Linked DNA regions of Drosophila melanogaster. The gene in region 1 interacts genetically with each later gene. Each region holds a gene or a part of one and is shown on either strand. Other genes may lie near its edges.

Region 1 (7,891 bases):
CTTTGCCAAAATACCGAACCTTGCACTTAACATGACCATAACATAGGAAATAACAGTATTTTTCCAAACTGTTAATGAAATGCATTCAAAAATGAAGTTTTTTAAAAAATATTTAATTTTTTTCTTATTTTACGCAAAGTATAGATTTGTAACAATGTAAAAACTTCAAAATTGCACGTGCGGGACTTCAAACTAGCTACGCTACCTTGAGTGCGCAGAATTTGTTGTTCAGATCGAAGAAGTCGTTTTCTGGATCGGCATCCTCGACCATTTCCGCATTGGGATCCGCGATGGCCTCCCTTAGCTCCACTTTCCTAGCCGCCTGACGCTGCTTCTTCAATCGCTTCTTCTGCAGGGCCTTTGCCGCCGTCGGATCCACCTCCAATCGCTTCCAAGTTGGTATAAACTCCGCGCACCAGTCGTACAAGTAGCAATAGAAATCGAACATCAACTTGGAGTCGGGCAGCAGGAAGTTCTCAACATGGTAGCGGACATCGGCACGATTCCTCAGTACATCATACATGTTGTAGAGAAAGGCGCCGCAATAAAGCTGGTTCATCCTCGGACTCAAAAGTGGAAAATCCAAAAGAGAATTTAGCCCATTGAGTTGGTAAACCACAGCCTGAAATTCAGCAAATGCGTGGATAACCGTGGTGGAGTACAAGTCAAACTTCTTTTTGAAGATCTCCTGCATATGGAAGTGCGGCAGTAGGCGTTCCTGAGTTAAATAGCAGTCCGATTTGGGTACATGAGCCATCCGATCTGGAACAGAAAGCTCTAGCAGAGCAGGTTTGATGCCGCGCTTAATTCCCTCGGCAGCTTCCTTATCCCTCACTGCTCGCTCTGCTTTCAATGTCTTGCCAAATCTTTTAAGGAAGGTTTTCACCTCTCGTTCAGCAGGGATTGTAACATCTATGGTTCGTAGGACAACCAAACTAAGGATCAGCGAGTGAAGATGCAGCAAATCACAGTGCTCCGAGCGATGTAACCAGTAGATAATGGCCAGAAAGTACAGCCTCAGGTCCTCCGGCAACTGGTCGAGCTTGCTGAACAACTTCTCCGTATCCGCATTGGGAGCATTGTCTTCGAATACAGCTCTTAAATGCCTAGCATCCGGCGAAAGAGGATCAAACGGATAGGCAGGCTTCTTTTCAATGGGCATCTTGAAATACCTCACGTTCGTCACTCGCAGAGCTCTGGTGAGGTAGGTGAGATAGGGGACTGTCGAACCCTCTATATCCATATCCACTTCTAATGGTAGCTCAATTTTCTCACACTCTACGTGATGGAGAAGAGCGAACACGTAGTTCAGGATGGGTAAGGCCACTTCATTGGAGTCGTGGAAGGGAAAGTGCTCGATCTGTGGGTTGTTGATGTACTTGCGCAGGTGCATAAGGTCCACGAAGCTGCGGGGCAGGTGCGCGGGATATAGTTTGTCCAGAAACCATTGTGGGAAGAGTAGCGTTTTGTCTTCCACTTCCAGCTCGAGGCCTTCATCCGCCTCCTCTTCTTCTTCATCACCCGAATCAACGTCTTGATTTTCTTCCTGCTGCTCCTCATCTTGGTTATCAGCTTCCTCCTGATCCTCGCCTTCTTCGACATCTGAAAATTTTTCATCGGAGCTAGACGAATGTTCATCGTCGCTGCATTCCTCTTCACTGACGGGTTCTATATAAGGAAAAGCATTCTCGTAGTGCTCATCGAAGTAATCGTAGGCGTGGCACAACTCGTTGGAGTAACCAGAGATGGCTGCATTCACTTGGGAGACCAGGGAATCACGCTGGTTCTGCAAGAATATTATTTTTAGCATAAATCGGAAAAAGATATCTCAAGCAACGAACCTTTTTCAGTCTCGACAGCACTTTAGCCAGAGCAGATTCCGCCGTTTCCTCCTTCAGCCATGTGAGGATGACCTGTATGCGCTTCTGCTGGAGCTTTAGTTTGCGACTTCGTCCTGCTTTGCCCATTCCCGCAGCAAAAAAGTTCTTGAAGGCACTGCGGGCAATATAGTCATTGCCCAGGAGGGCGGCAAAAAGGGGTAGCTTCTCGGGACTCAGAGTTCCTCGTCCGCAGAGATGGGACACCCGGTAGATGCAGCAGTCGAGGTACTTGTAGGTCTTGGAACTGCCTTTTGTACTGGCTGTCAGCCCTGTGGTTTGAATGCCAGTCACAATCTTGTTGGCCCTGGTGCGCTTCTTCACATTCTTGGCCTCGCAGTGACGTAGATCTCGACTGTCCTTCTGGTTGCTGCTGTTCTTGTCCTTCACCTGCTTGGTGAGAACCTGGGGTACATGGAATCGCTTAGTATATGCTGGAATCCAAATAACTTATGCCTTACCTTAACAGTCAGCGTGATCAGCGGGATGTACTTGACGTTGTGGATGTAGAAATCCGAGTCGTAGGAGAGCACTGGGCAGTTAAGTTTCCTGGCCAGAGCAGCCAACTCGTCGTCCGCCTCAAAGACGCACCTCATCACCGGGACTCCGCAGTCGCGCACAGCGTCCACGAAAACCTCCTTGAGGTGCAGCGGGAACAGCGTGATGGATGCATTGGGGTTTATCTTCTTGATCACGGAAATCTTGTTGCGCAGCCGGGTGCTAACGGTCCTCAGCTTGCGCTCCTCGTACCCGCCGTCCATGAGCACATAGGGCCGAATGTTGCACTCGGCCAGAACCTGGAAGAACTGCACCACGGCGCGGTAGAAGTCGTCGTAGTCGCCGCCGAAGGCGGAGTAGCTCCCGGTGACATCCTTGTACAGATTGCAGCTCAAGTTGTCGCCATCGATGACCAGCGCCGTGGAGTGCAGCTCGTGCGGCTTAAGGTAGATCTCCGCGCGCTGCGCTATGTAACTGGTCAGGCCGCGGACTCCCATTTTCCCGGCGCTTGCCTATTTTCCCAATTTTCTATTTACCTATTTTGCACAAACTTTAAAAGCGTGCTAATAGTGATGTCAGTTTGCAGTGCGATACTATCGATGTACATATCGATTCTTTAGCGTGGCCGTTCGCTGCCGTTTGGTATATATGAGCGATTAGTTTGGTATCTAGGGTATTTCCCGCAGCCGGATGGTATATTCCGGGGATGGCGCCGCGGTCACACTCTGTCCCGACAATTCCAACCCGACGCTTGTCTGCTCTCCACCCGCGCATCAAACGTCGAAAAATCGTAACGTCGCGAGTGCTACGCGGTGGCCAGGAGAAAAATTCGCCAGCAATAGCAACACTTGTACCGAAAATCTAAAGGAAACTGGGAAATGTACTAGCACAAACACAGCGAGTGCAGTGGAAACCGAAATCGCCATTGAATCGAAGAGCGCGTGCATATATACGGGTTCCGTTGGTTCCGTTCCGTTTCTTGTCGCTTTTCTTGCACACACTTTACCACTTTACCTTTGCGTCTCTCGTTTCGTGCGTGCGTGTGTGTGTGCGCGGAGTGTGGTGTGCGTGCGTGTGTGTTGTTTTTGTGTGTTCGTTTAACTAAAGCACAGGTAGAAGGAAAAGCAGCGGAAAAAAGAAAACCATGGGCGAAATATGCATATGAAATTAAGTAAATACAAGGCGACAGCAGCAGAAAACATCCAGTAGCAACGAGAAACAACAACAACAATAACACACGTTAATAACTCAGCTTTGTGCGTCTTTCGTCTGCGCTTCACATAGTATTATTTTTCTCTTGGATTTTCCACACAAAAACACCATGAGTGAGCGAGCGAGAGCGACGATCGTGATCACCGTGTCGTGAATGAATTTTTGTCAGTGTGTGCGAGGCGTGCTCTACGCACACACACACGTACGTAAACAACACAACCACACACGGCCCATCATCGATCACCAATCACCTGTGTGTGTGTGTGCGGCATTTAATAAATAATTGTGTGCAAATAAATGTTCCAAAAGGAAATTGTTAAGCCAAACCAGCAAAAAACGTAAATCAACCGTGCGATAATTCGTCCTAGAGTTGAAAAAAAAAGACGGTTCAAAAGCAAGTGCGTGTGTGCAGAGTTCTTCTGGTGTCTTGGGAGCTTCGTTTTACGGATACGAAACATATATAACTTCCCTCTTTGCCGAAAAAGGTGAGTTCAAAATCAGGGAAAAATCCCTTTCCCATTGGCCAAGGCCGTTCCGGGAAATCTGCGAGTGGTCTTGGCCCACGTTTCCTGTCTTCCGCACATTTTCACACGTCCTGCAATTGCAATTTTTTCCGATTTCCCAACTCTGCACCTCCTGTATGTTCGGCGATTCCCACGCCTCTTTTTTTCGGGGCAGGTATTCGCAGGTAGCGGAAAGAGGAAAAACCCTCGGGAAAGCCGATAAACTAGAGAAAACCTCTGTTGGTGGGCCGAAAAAACCAGAAAAAATAGAAGAATTGAAATGTTTTCCCTGGCTGCTGAAACAGAGAAAATCGGGCGAAATTAGGCACCCGCTGATTCCAGAAAATTGCTCGTATAATAGAAACATCTCACTGGGGGAGAAATAAATTATCGTTATTATCATCTGCAGTTGCAATTTGGCACAATTTCGATATGACTGTGCTCCCATTTGCCCGGCGATTATGTAATTTTCGCCGCTGTGCTCGAGAATCAGGTTCATTTTCCATATGAAAAAGGGGGCTTTGCTGCAGACATTGCATATATGCCGACGATCTGGCGACCACCGACAGTTGCCAGCAATTTCCGGCGCTTTTTGGCAACTGGAAATCGAGCACAAAAGTTCATCCCAGGGCTTAGAGAGCCGCAAAAGGCGTAGCCATCCATATTCACCCCATCCCAAACGCATTTCCCAATGTGGTTTATAGTTTTCCTACAGCTGTTGCGACTGCGATTTTAACGATTTTTACTGGTAATCCGGGGAGGAAGTGAAGTTCATAGCGGTTCGACCAGTTGATACCTCTTAATAAACTGTTTGTAGGGCATTTCTGAAAAGGAAATATTCCAAAGCGAGATTTGGTTAGTCTCAATCCTTAGAACAGCATTGCTCACTTCCTTACACAAGTGCATACTACCCTCGCATACCCTGTAATCAGTGGGCACCATAAAAAGAGTTTGAATTTCAAATAAAATCCACTCTCCGGCACACACACAAGTCCACTGGGGAGCAGCTGCTGTGTGTCTCTTTGTGCTTGGTCTCAAATGACACTTGCCAGCGCTGCTGCTGCATATAATTCCGAGTTCTGGGGAATTTCCTAGTAGGAAGTGCAGGGGCCACAGCGAAAACACCAGCAAGAGTCGCACTTGATGATTGTCTTGCCACGGCTATTGCCGTCCCACTCTGGAAACGTAAATAGAGAGGCCCGATAAAGAGCGGTCTCGAACTTCCCCCAGTTGTGTTGCCTCTAACCCAACTGAAACTGAGTGGAATCGAGGTTTTCTGGCGGCATAAAATTTGATAGCAATTAAGATATTTGTTAGAACTGTTTCTAATGTCACATGTGCTGCGTGTAGGAGTCTCATCCTGCACTATCTTGTTTTTCGCACTTGCCCCGTTCCCATTTCCCGGCTGGTACTCCAGTTACTTGCCGCAATTGACCAATTAAACAATTGTCTTTGATTAAATGTGCAAATTTGTCTAATGTTCTGCACTGCGCGTATGTGCAAAGCGGATGTGCCCGCTTAAAGCTGCGCTTAAATTGCCCGCGTAATTTGTCACTGATCTCACTTTCTCAATTGGCGATCTCTGATTTCTGAGATTCCTGATCTCTGCCTGGCCAATTAGGCGTCATTATGCGGCAGGCAAGAAGGCACCGTTAGATGGAGCCATTGCAACAGTGGCCAGAATAATAACAGCGACTAGGAAATAATGGCTAATGGCCTATACCTTTGCCCATCTAATGCTTCTTGACCTACAAGCCTCCACAGGCCTCTCGCGTTTCCTGCCCGCTTTCATTTACTGTTAATTATTGTTTAGAAAAGCGCGGGGGCGGGGGCCAATAATAATAAGAAGAAGAAAAAGCAGCAGCATTGGCCAATAAAAGCTTGCAAACAATTTCGAATTTCCAAATGGTTTGAAATGCAGCCCAGCTGGCAACAGAGGAAAAGAGGCAGCCAAATCAACCGAAAGGCAACACGGGGCCATAACAACAATCTTGCTCGCACATTCATAATAGGCGAAACAGAGGCGGCCAAAAAAGTAGGACTGTTTCGTACAAAAATATATAGTAGGATCTTAACGAAATGTAGTTTTCATAGGATCAAATGATAATGTACTGTGTTTATTCGCAACTGAAAAATACAAAATATTCTGACCAACTGTATTTTTAGATAACAGCAATATTTGTAACTACTCTATTATTCCGAGCCCTACTGTACGCATACACACACACACACACAGAATCAACAAATAAAGTAATTATTTCCTTTCACATGGCGAGCTACCTCCAAAATCGGAAAGACATAAAGAAGAATATAAAAAGCGGAGAAGCCCCAAGACCCAAAAATAAAATCCAACAAAATCCGCTGTCGGCGTCGATTCCTTTGTTGTTGTTTTGCTGCAGCGGTCCCAACACGTGCAATTGGGAGCGAGCGAGAGGGGGAGAGTAGGAGCGAAAAGAAACTAATAGGCCAGTAGTACGAATCGCAGAGGAGTGAGCAGTGCAGTGGCAATTTTGCATCGATCTCCCACTCAATGGGCAAAAAACGGAGCTCGAAGTTGTGAGTGACATGTGTGAGTGAGGCTCGAAGTGAATGAATGGCACAATCTGTGATTGATTCATGCACAACTAGATGACTAAATTCGCTTTCGGCCCATTCTTTCATATCCGTTAGCTGGCCACTCCTTTTGTCCAAGTTTGGTCAACCAAGTTGGCTCGCTCTTTTGCCATTTAATTGATTCATCCACACCAGCAGATATCTGAAATCTGAATCGATCCCAAAATGACACCCAATTTCACTGTTCTGTGAATGAATACGGTTTTTTTTATCACGTGTATGTGGGTGCGAGTGCGCCATCGTCTTACGTTGTAATTTCGCGACTCTATGTCCGTCCTTGTCTGTTGCTAATAAATCAAGACCCATGTTCATTTTGCAACGGCTTTGGATACCCTACAGTGGGTTGCTTCGTTTTGTCAGACTCAACAATAATTGCAAATGGTTTTCTGTGGTTATTTACAATTATGGCTATAAACCTCATTAAAAGTCTTGAAAGCTGCTTAAATTGATAATTACAGTTCCAAAGAAGTAATCACTCATATTCATTGTATCATCATTTGGAAACATCAGTCATTGCAAACACATCAGTCATATCAGTGTCGAGGGTAATCCGCATTCGATGCAACGCTTTTGCCTCTTGTGTTCGCTAGTTTTTGCCATTTATGCAGCTACCGTGGGGCGCTTACGTCATTGGCCGGCTTGGTACATATTTGGCCATGTTTTACTGTTGTCAATTGGATGCTATTTGTGGGCTAAATTTCTCGCTGGCGTCAACACAAAATATTGAAAGTAGGCAGCTCGGATTGAGTTGAGTCATTATCTTTTCTTTTCTCGAGTTGTGAAATTTGCTCCCGAATACCTCGGATGCGCAAGTACATATGTATGTACATACATATGTGCCGACTGTTCTACACATTTTCTCAATTAATAATTTCGAGCATTCAGTTGGAGGGAGAGGTGCCCATACATACATATCTACATACATATATAGCCCATATATCATTGCCAAGATCATCTATTGGCCTCTCTATAGCTGCGTCTATAGCGACACAATGTGTCTGAGCGAAATCCGTTTGGCATTTATTTACTTGTCTGTCTTCTGTTTGGCCAGTTTCATTGGAAAATTCACTTTTCGCTAAACAATTTCCATAAATGCAATAAATTTATACAAATAGCCCTGTTAATGGATCGCATCGATCTGCTTTACAAAGGTATTCGGAGCATTGTTTTGATTTGCCTACGCCAATG
Region 2 (6,060 bases), about 11 Mb from region 1:
CAAATCGTCAAACCTTTGAATGCCACAAGCGAAAAAAGGGGCAGTTTTTGGGGGGCGAAAAATGTTTGCCAAATGTTTTTCCTGCCTGCTGCAATTTAAATGAGACGTTGGCCAAATGCGAGGGTGTCGCCTGCAGTCGCTGTGTGAAAGTGGGCGGGGCGGGGCGGGGCTGGTCAGTGGAATTAATTCTAATCCCGAACACGTTCCGTTGCGAACGAAGTGGTCAGTTGCGATATACTATATAAATATATATATAATTGTATATACATGCATATGTACATATATAGAACTCCTTAGTGGAGTTTCAATTGGTGGAGGGTGCGTCGATCATTAGCGTGATTTCTTTCCGCTTTGACAAGAAAATCAGAACGCTTCACTGAACTCCATCAGGACGAAAAAAAAAAGAAAAAAGGAATGTCTTAGTCGAATGGTGTGACTATTAGATACCCGTTAGCCAGCTTAAGAAAGTTGGTAAGAGTTGAATATATTTAAAGTCTTAACTGATTAAAGTTAGCAAGCAGAGTATCAGCAAGGTACTTAATTAAAAGAAGAACCAAAGAGTTAAATAAATGCAAGAAGGTAACAAGCAGCAGTGCGACTATCAGATACCTGTTACTCCACAAAACTTTCTTGAGAAGTCTTAGCGCTAGAACAGGAAATGCTCAAAAGCAGTTACATAATTACTGGCAATAATTTATGTTTATTTTTAAGCTTTAATAAACATCAATAGAAAAATTTAATAGAAAAAATAGAAAACTGAGCGCCAGTTCTATGTATCTATTTTGTTTATAAAAACAAGTAAAGTATACAAATTTAAGCATTGTTAAGGTATTAATTTTCTTAATGATTCAAATTATTTGTTACATATATTTTTATAAAGATTTACCAATCGAATTTTAGTCGTTTGAATTCGCTTAGATTCGTTGAAATTCGCTTCTAAATCAAAGCAAAGAAGCGAACCAATGTAAAATATATGTAAATGTAAAATTGTTGGTTCGGTACTTCGACGCGGGATCTGTTTAACGATTTTTTCAGTGATTTCGACACAAAAAGAGTAACTACTGCAGTTATTTTGCTAATAAAAAATTTAACTATATTATATGATAATTATAGATGATATGATATTAAATATAAATATAATTAAAATTTATAATAGTCCGATTTTTGACCAGAACTTATTATCGACATTATATAAGCCCATTATATACAAAAATGATTCCTAAAACAATCAAATAAAAGTAGAGTTGTGCCACTCGCCTTAGTATAACTTAGTTCTAAAGTATATGTTAATTTTATGTTAAATTCATTTTCGAATAATGGAAAAACGAGCGCCAATGTTGCGCTAGGGATTTCTAAACGATATGTAAACGATATCGTATATCGCACGACAATCGCCTGCGTGTAGAACTTAACAATCGATAGTTGTATTTAGCACAGAACCAAACCAAAAAATGCTAAAATATCAGTTTTGAACAGTATAGTGTGACCGCTATATGTGCCAAAAATCCCGTATTCAGTATTTGGTATTATTATTTGATATTATATTTTTATTGGCATTTTGAGTTGGGACAAAAACGCAAGGCAAGTTGTTGGTCTTTTTCGCTGTCTGCAGACGGATAAAAAGTAAAAGAACGCAAATCGAACGCGCCGCGAACGTATTGCAAAATCGCTTAACTCGCGGCGCCCTTGAAAACGACGAGGAAAAGCGAAAAAAGGCTGCGAGAGCTAGCGCAAAATCGAAGAAAAAACTGTGTATGTGCGTGCGTGTGAGTGTATGAGTGTGACGTGTGCGTCGCTGTGTGTGTGAGCGAGCTGGCATGCAGATGTAGAGATGTGTGTGCGCTGCTGCTGCGGCTGTGTGTGCGTGTAAATTGAATAAGAAAACGGAGCACAAATGGCACTGATGGAAAATTTATATGTGCGCTGAAAAATTAATTTATTTGCAAAAAGCCAAAGAGCTGCGAAAAGTAAAGTGACAAGCGGAGAGATGTGCAAAATCGAAAGAACGAAAAATTGTGGATTGCCGACTCTCTGCAGATTTGAAGAGAGTGGCAGCGAAAGAGAGACATAGAGAGAGAGTTTGTGTATGTGTGGGTGTGAGCCGCCTTTGCCAGGAAAACTAAAAAGAAAAAAATTCCCTGGCGTTAAAATTTGCACAAAAAATGTTGAATTCGATTGTTTGCTTTCCGCAGTTCGGCGTTTCGCTTTTTTTTTTTGCACAAAACTTTTTTCGCCAATTTTTCATGCACGCTTTTTCGTTTATTTAATTCCTCTCTCTCTCTCTCCATCTCTCTCTCACTCATTTTTTCGCTCTCCGAATCGACTCTCTCGCAGTGCTCTCCGCTTTTTGCTTGTGCACAGCCAAGTGTCAAAACTGTCATTTACCTTCCTTTTGTCCGATTAGCAAAACGCAACGAAAAACTAATATCCCATCCAAATTAAATTCGTGGCCGTTCGCTTGTTTTAAGTTTATTGTTTTACGCCAAGAAACAAGTAATTTTAAATTGTTTGACATACGCGTAAGTGTGGTAAAAATGTAAAAGAGAGGCCTTTGCCTCTTAGTGCAACAAATCGATCAGAAAGTAACCAATAAAAAAGCAAAGCAAATCGAAACATGTTTCAAAACGAAGGAAAAATCAGAGAAATTCAATGAAACAAAAGTGCAAAACAGTCGCGTAATTGTTGGTGTGTGTGTGTGTGTGTGTGTCAGCGTGTGTGCCCATCCTTTTGGTCTGCTTCTTCACTTTCGCTCAGTTGTTGTTGCAGCTTGCACTTTGTACCTTAGATTTTTCCCATTTCCTCTTTCCATTCCCATTTCTCCAAAACAGCTGGCCAAGCATTTGATTAACTCCAATATTCCTTCGTTTTCTACTGTATTTTATGTGCCATTTACCTTTGTTTATAATGTCAGCTGGCCCGGCATTGTTGTTTATTTTCTGTTCTGCTTCGCCTTGATTGTTTAGTCAAGTGTTAGTTTTGTTTTTGTGCCATTTTGCAATTTTCTGCTTATTTGCCATCCGATATTATGGGGTAATTTTTTTTTCATATGTGATTTTTAGTAGAAATTCATATAAAAAATTGTGTGTTCTGTTTGGTTAACGGTAACTCGAATTACACACAAGTGTTTAGAATTATGGATACGTATTTAATAACAGCGGTGTGCAATAATAGTAGATTTGCAAAAACCAACCAGCATTTCTGAGAATATTAATTTCTAGTTTATGAACTAAAATATGAAATTCACTCTGTATGAGTACCCTTTTTATACAAACTTGAAATGAATAAATCTGATTAGCTTTGAATGCCCTTGAACCAATCTACAATATCTTCACGATCATAATGATCATCCCTTTTAACGCATCTCCGATTTCAAAGCAAAACAAAATAAACCTCAGGCCAGATCGGTTTTCTTGTCAAGCCGCGTGGCAAATTTTTCTGCTTACCATGCACCATTTTGTAACTATAACTGGACGATATATTTGCGTTTAGGAATCGGATACACTTCAGATTTCTGCCAACTCTTTGATACAACCGATGGCACAAACTCAGAAAGGTTTGGATTGTTTTGCGAGTTACTTTCATAGGTATCGGTATCAAGAAGTTGCAAGAAATAAGCTGGGGTTTCTTGAACAGGGATCTATCTGCATAAAAGAAATGCGTGTGCAGACAGTCACGTCGACCAAACCAGAATTCAATCAGTTCATTTTTTTTTGTAATGTAGGAATTTCGGGGTTGATTGCTAGCGGAAAAGTACCAATCTTTCAACAACTGGTTAACTTTTTGAATGAAACCATCATAAAAAAATAACTAATTATTTTATCTAGGGTATTGTCACTTTCGGTACATTTAACACCTATTTGCACCAATTTTCTTTGATGTCTTGTTGCTTTATTTACATTCTGCGACTCAATTCAATTGAGAAATTATATTCGATTTCAATTGTATCTGAGTATCTCATGGATGCATTGTCATTGTAATCTCTAGCTTGTTGTTGTTCCTTTTGCAGCCGCCTCCTCCTCATCTTCGTCGCTGCTCTTTTCTCGTTTGATAAACATTTTCATTGCCTTCTCTCTGCATACATCGCTCTCTCTCGCTCTTTCGGGTTCTTTTACTTCCTCCTACAACGCCTTCGTTTTTCTTTTCCTTTTCCCTTGCCATTTTTTTTGCATTGTGAATCATTTCCTTGCGGAAAGGAAAAGAGCGAAGAAAAGGTGGGAAGTGCCTGTGGGTGAAAGACAGGAAAGGAAAGTCACTGATTGAAAAGTTATTAACTCGGTTGAATTTTCATTATGCATTATTTAACACCCTGGTGTCCTTAAAGTTCAGTTTTATATCTGTCAGCAAGGTATAAATTTTTAGAGGATTTTTTAGAGGATAACCCATTTATTTTTTGTTTCTATTTTTTGCTCCTAAAGGCCTTTTTTGTTATATCCCATTTTCGTTTTTGTTTTTACCGATAGTCTTAAAGTTTAGTAGGGCTTGATAAGGTTTTGATGGTTTAGCTGAGAAAGCAGCAGTGCATTTTATTACCGTATTTTGTATTGGCAATATATCCTGGCTTACCTTTGATGCACTGCGAACAATCGGGACACCTTTCCTTTTGCTTTTCATCTTCTTCGGCTGCTGCTATCATCATCAATATTGATTACCGGCAGCTGTCCGAGAGCGGGAGAGTGCGAGCGAGCAGCCGCTCTCCTTTTGCGGTTTGTTTGGTATGCGGCCCCCACCCCGTCCCGCCCACTTGTAGGCGCCCACGTTGGTAGGAAGGAGCATGTGGATGTAGATGCGGTTGCGGAGGGGCCAACAGGCTGCTCTCGCTCTCTTGCAGCTCCCGCTCTCCGATTGCAATTTTCTCAACGCGCATTCGCTCGCTCACACTCACTCTCTCTCGCTCGCGCTTGCCTCTTTCTGTACTATCTGTTGTAGTTGCTTTTCATTACATTTGTTGTTGTTGGCTTGCCATCGATTTTATGCTTTGTCGTTGCAATTAGTTCTTCTTCTGTTGCTTGCTTCTTGTCTGCACTTTTAGTTCTCATTTTCTTTTCACCCCATCTCCTTGTTGTTGCTTTTGCTATTGAGGAAGGCAGTGAGCAGAGGCAGAAGTCCTCCTCCTCCTCCTTTCCATTCGCCGATTTGTTTGTGTGCGAAATCTGGTGCCTACAGCGATACTTTGATTATTGACTGCCGGGGGGTTAAAAGGGGTCCCAAGTTTATTGTCCAGAAGATGAGTTACAAGAATGGATACTCCACTTCCAGTGGTTCTTGATGAATTGGGTATTCTGGTTCGGTTTGGGTGTGCGCTTTTTCAATGGATTAAATTCTCTAATTGAGCCAATTTCGTCTAGATTAATTATCCATTCTAAAGAGCTATTGGTTTTCATTCATAACAACTGATGCCCAATTACCACAACTTTACTCCCTCAAATTATATTCGAAATCAACTTAAGTTGAAGAAGAAGCTTTGGGCCAACACCTGCGTGGCTCAAGAACAAGGCCAATAGACTCTTAAACCCCCAACAAACAGCAGGCCAAAAAACTAAAAAAAAAAAACAAAAACAAAAATACCCACCTTGAGAGAGTGCTACGACCAATGTTGACCTATAACTGATTTTTTGTTATTCAGTTGTTCTTCTGGTTTGCTGGTTTTGTTGGTTGTCTCTTTTTTTCGACTCTCCTAGCCACAGAATAATCAGATTTTTTTGCGTCGTTTATAACTCGATTAGGCAAAAGAAATAAAACAAAATTAAGCGAGAGAGAAAGAATAAAAGAGCAGCGTCAAGGTCTTGACTTTGCCTTCTGGCAGGGCAAACGCAGAGTTCAAACGCCACTACAGTAATCACTCAAAAGTCTATATATGAATTATTATATAAGTTTAGTATTCAGGTCAACAAAATGTCCCTCTAAACAAAACCGTTGTATGAAAGATATTGTTTTGTATATTTAGATATTGCTTTAATGACTCAATATTGAATATTCAATTTGATCTTCTTATTTTTGCTTAAGACCAAAAAAAAATTAATTCAAATTTTCTAAAATTTAAAAAACGATGGTTAATTATGA

Evidence for each region.
Region 2: of S (region 1) and bun, changing one enhances a phenotype caused by changing the other (phenotypic enhancement), as found in Drosophila melanogaster (one study listed by BioGRID).

What each region holds. Positions count from the first base shown.
Region 1 is NT_033779.5:1,073,016-1,080,906, reverse strand, and holds the start of S (star), read left to right. Parts: upstream 1-3,091; 5' UTR 3,092-4,072; intron 4,073-7,891. Other genes in the region: ast (asteroid), read right to left, coding at 197-1,786, 1,842-2,282, 2,339-2,872.
Region 2 is NT_033779.5:12,542,102-12,548,161, reverse strand, and holds the start of bun (bunched), read left to right. Parts: upstream 1-1,550; 5' UTR 1,551-1,752; exon of another isoform or gene 1,753-2,519; intron 2,520-3,818; exon of another isoform or gene 3,819-4,222; intron 4,223-4,563; exon of another isoform or gene 4,564-4,986; intron 4,987-6,060. UniProt on the Drosophila melanogaster protein: Probable transcription factor required for peripheral nervous system morphogenesis, eye development and oogenesis.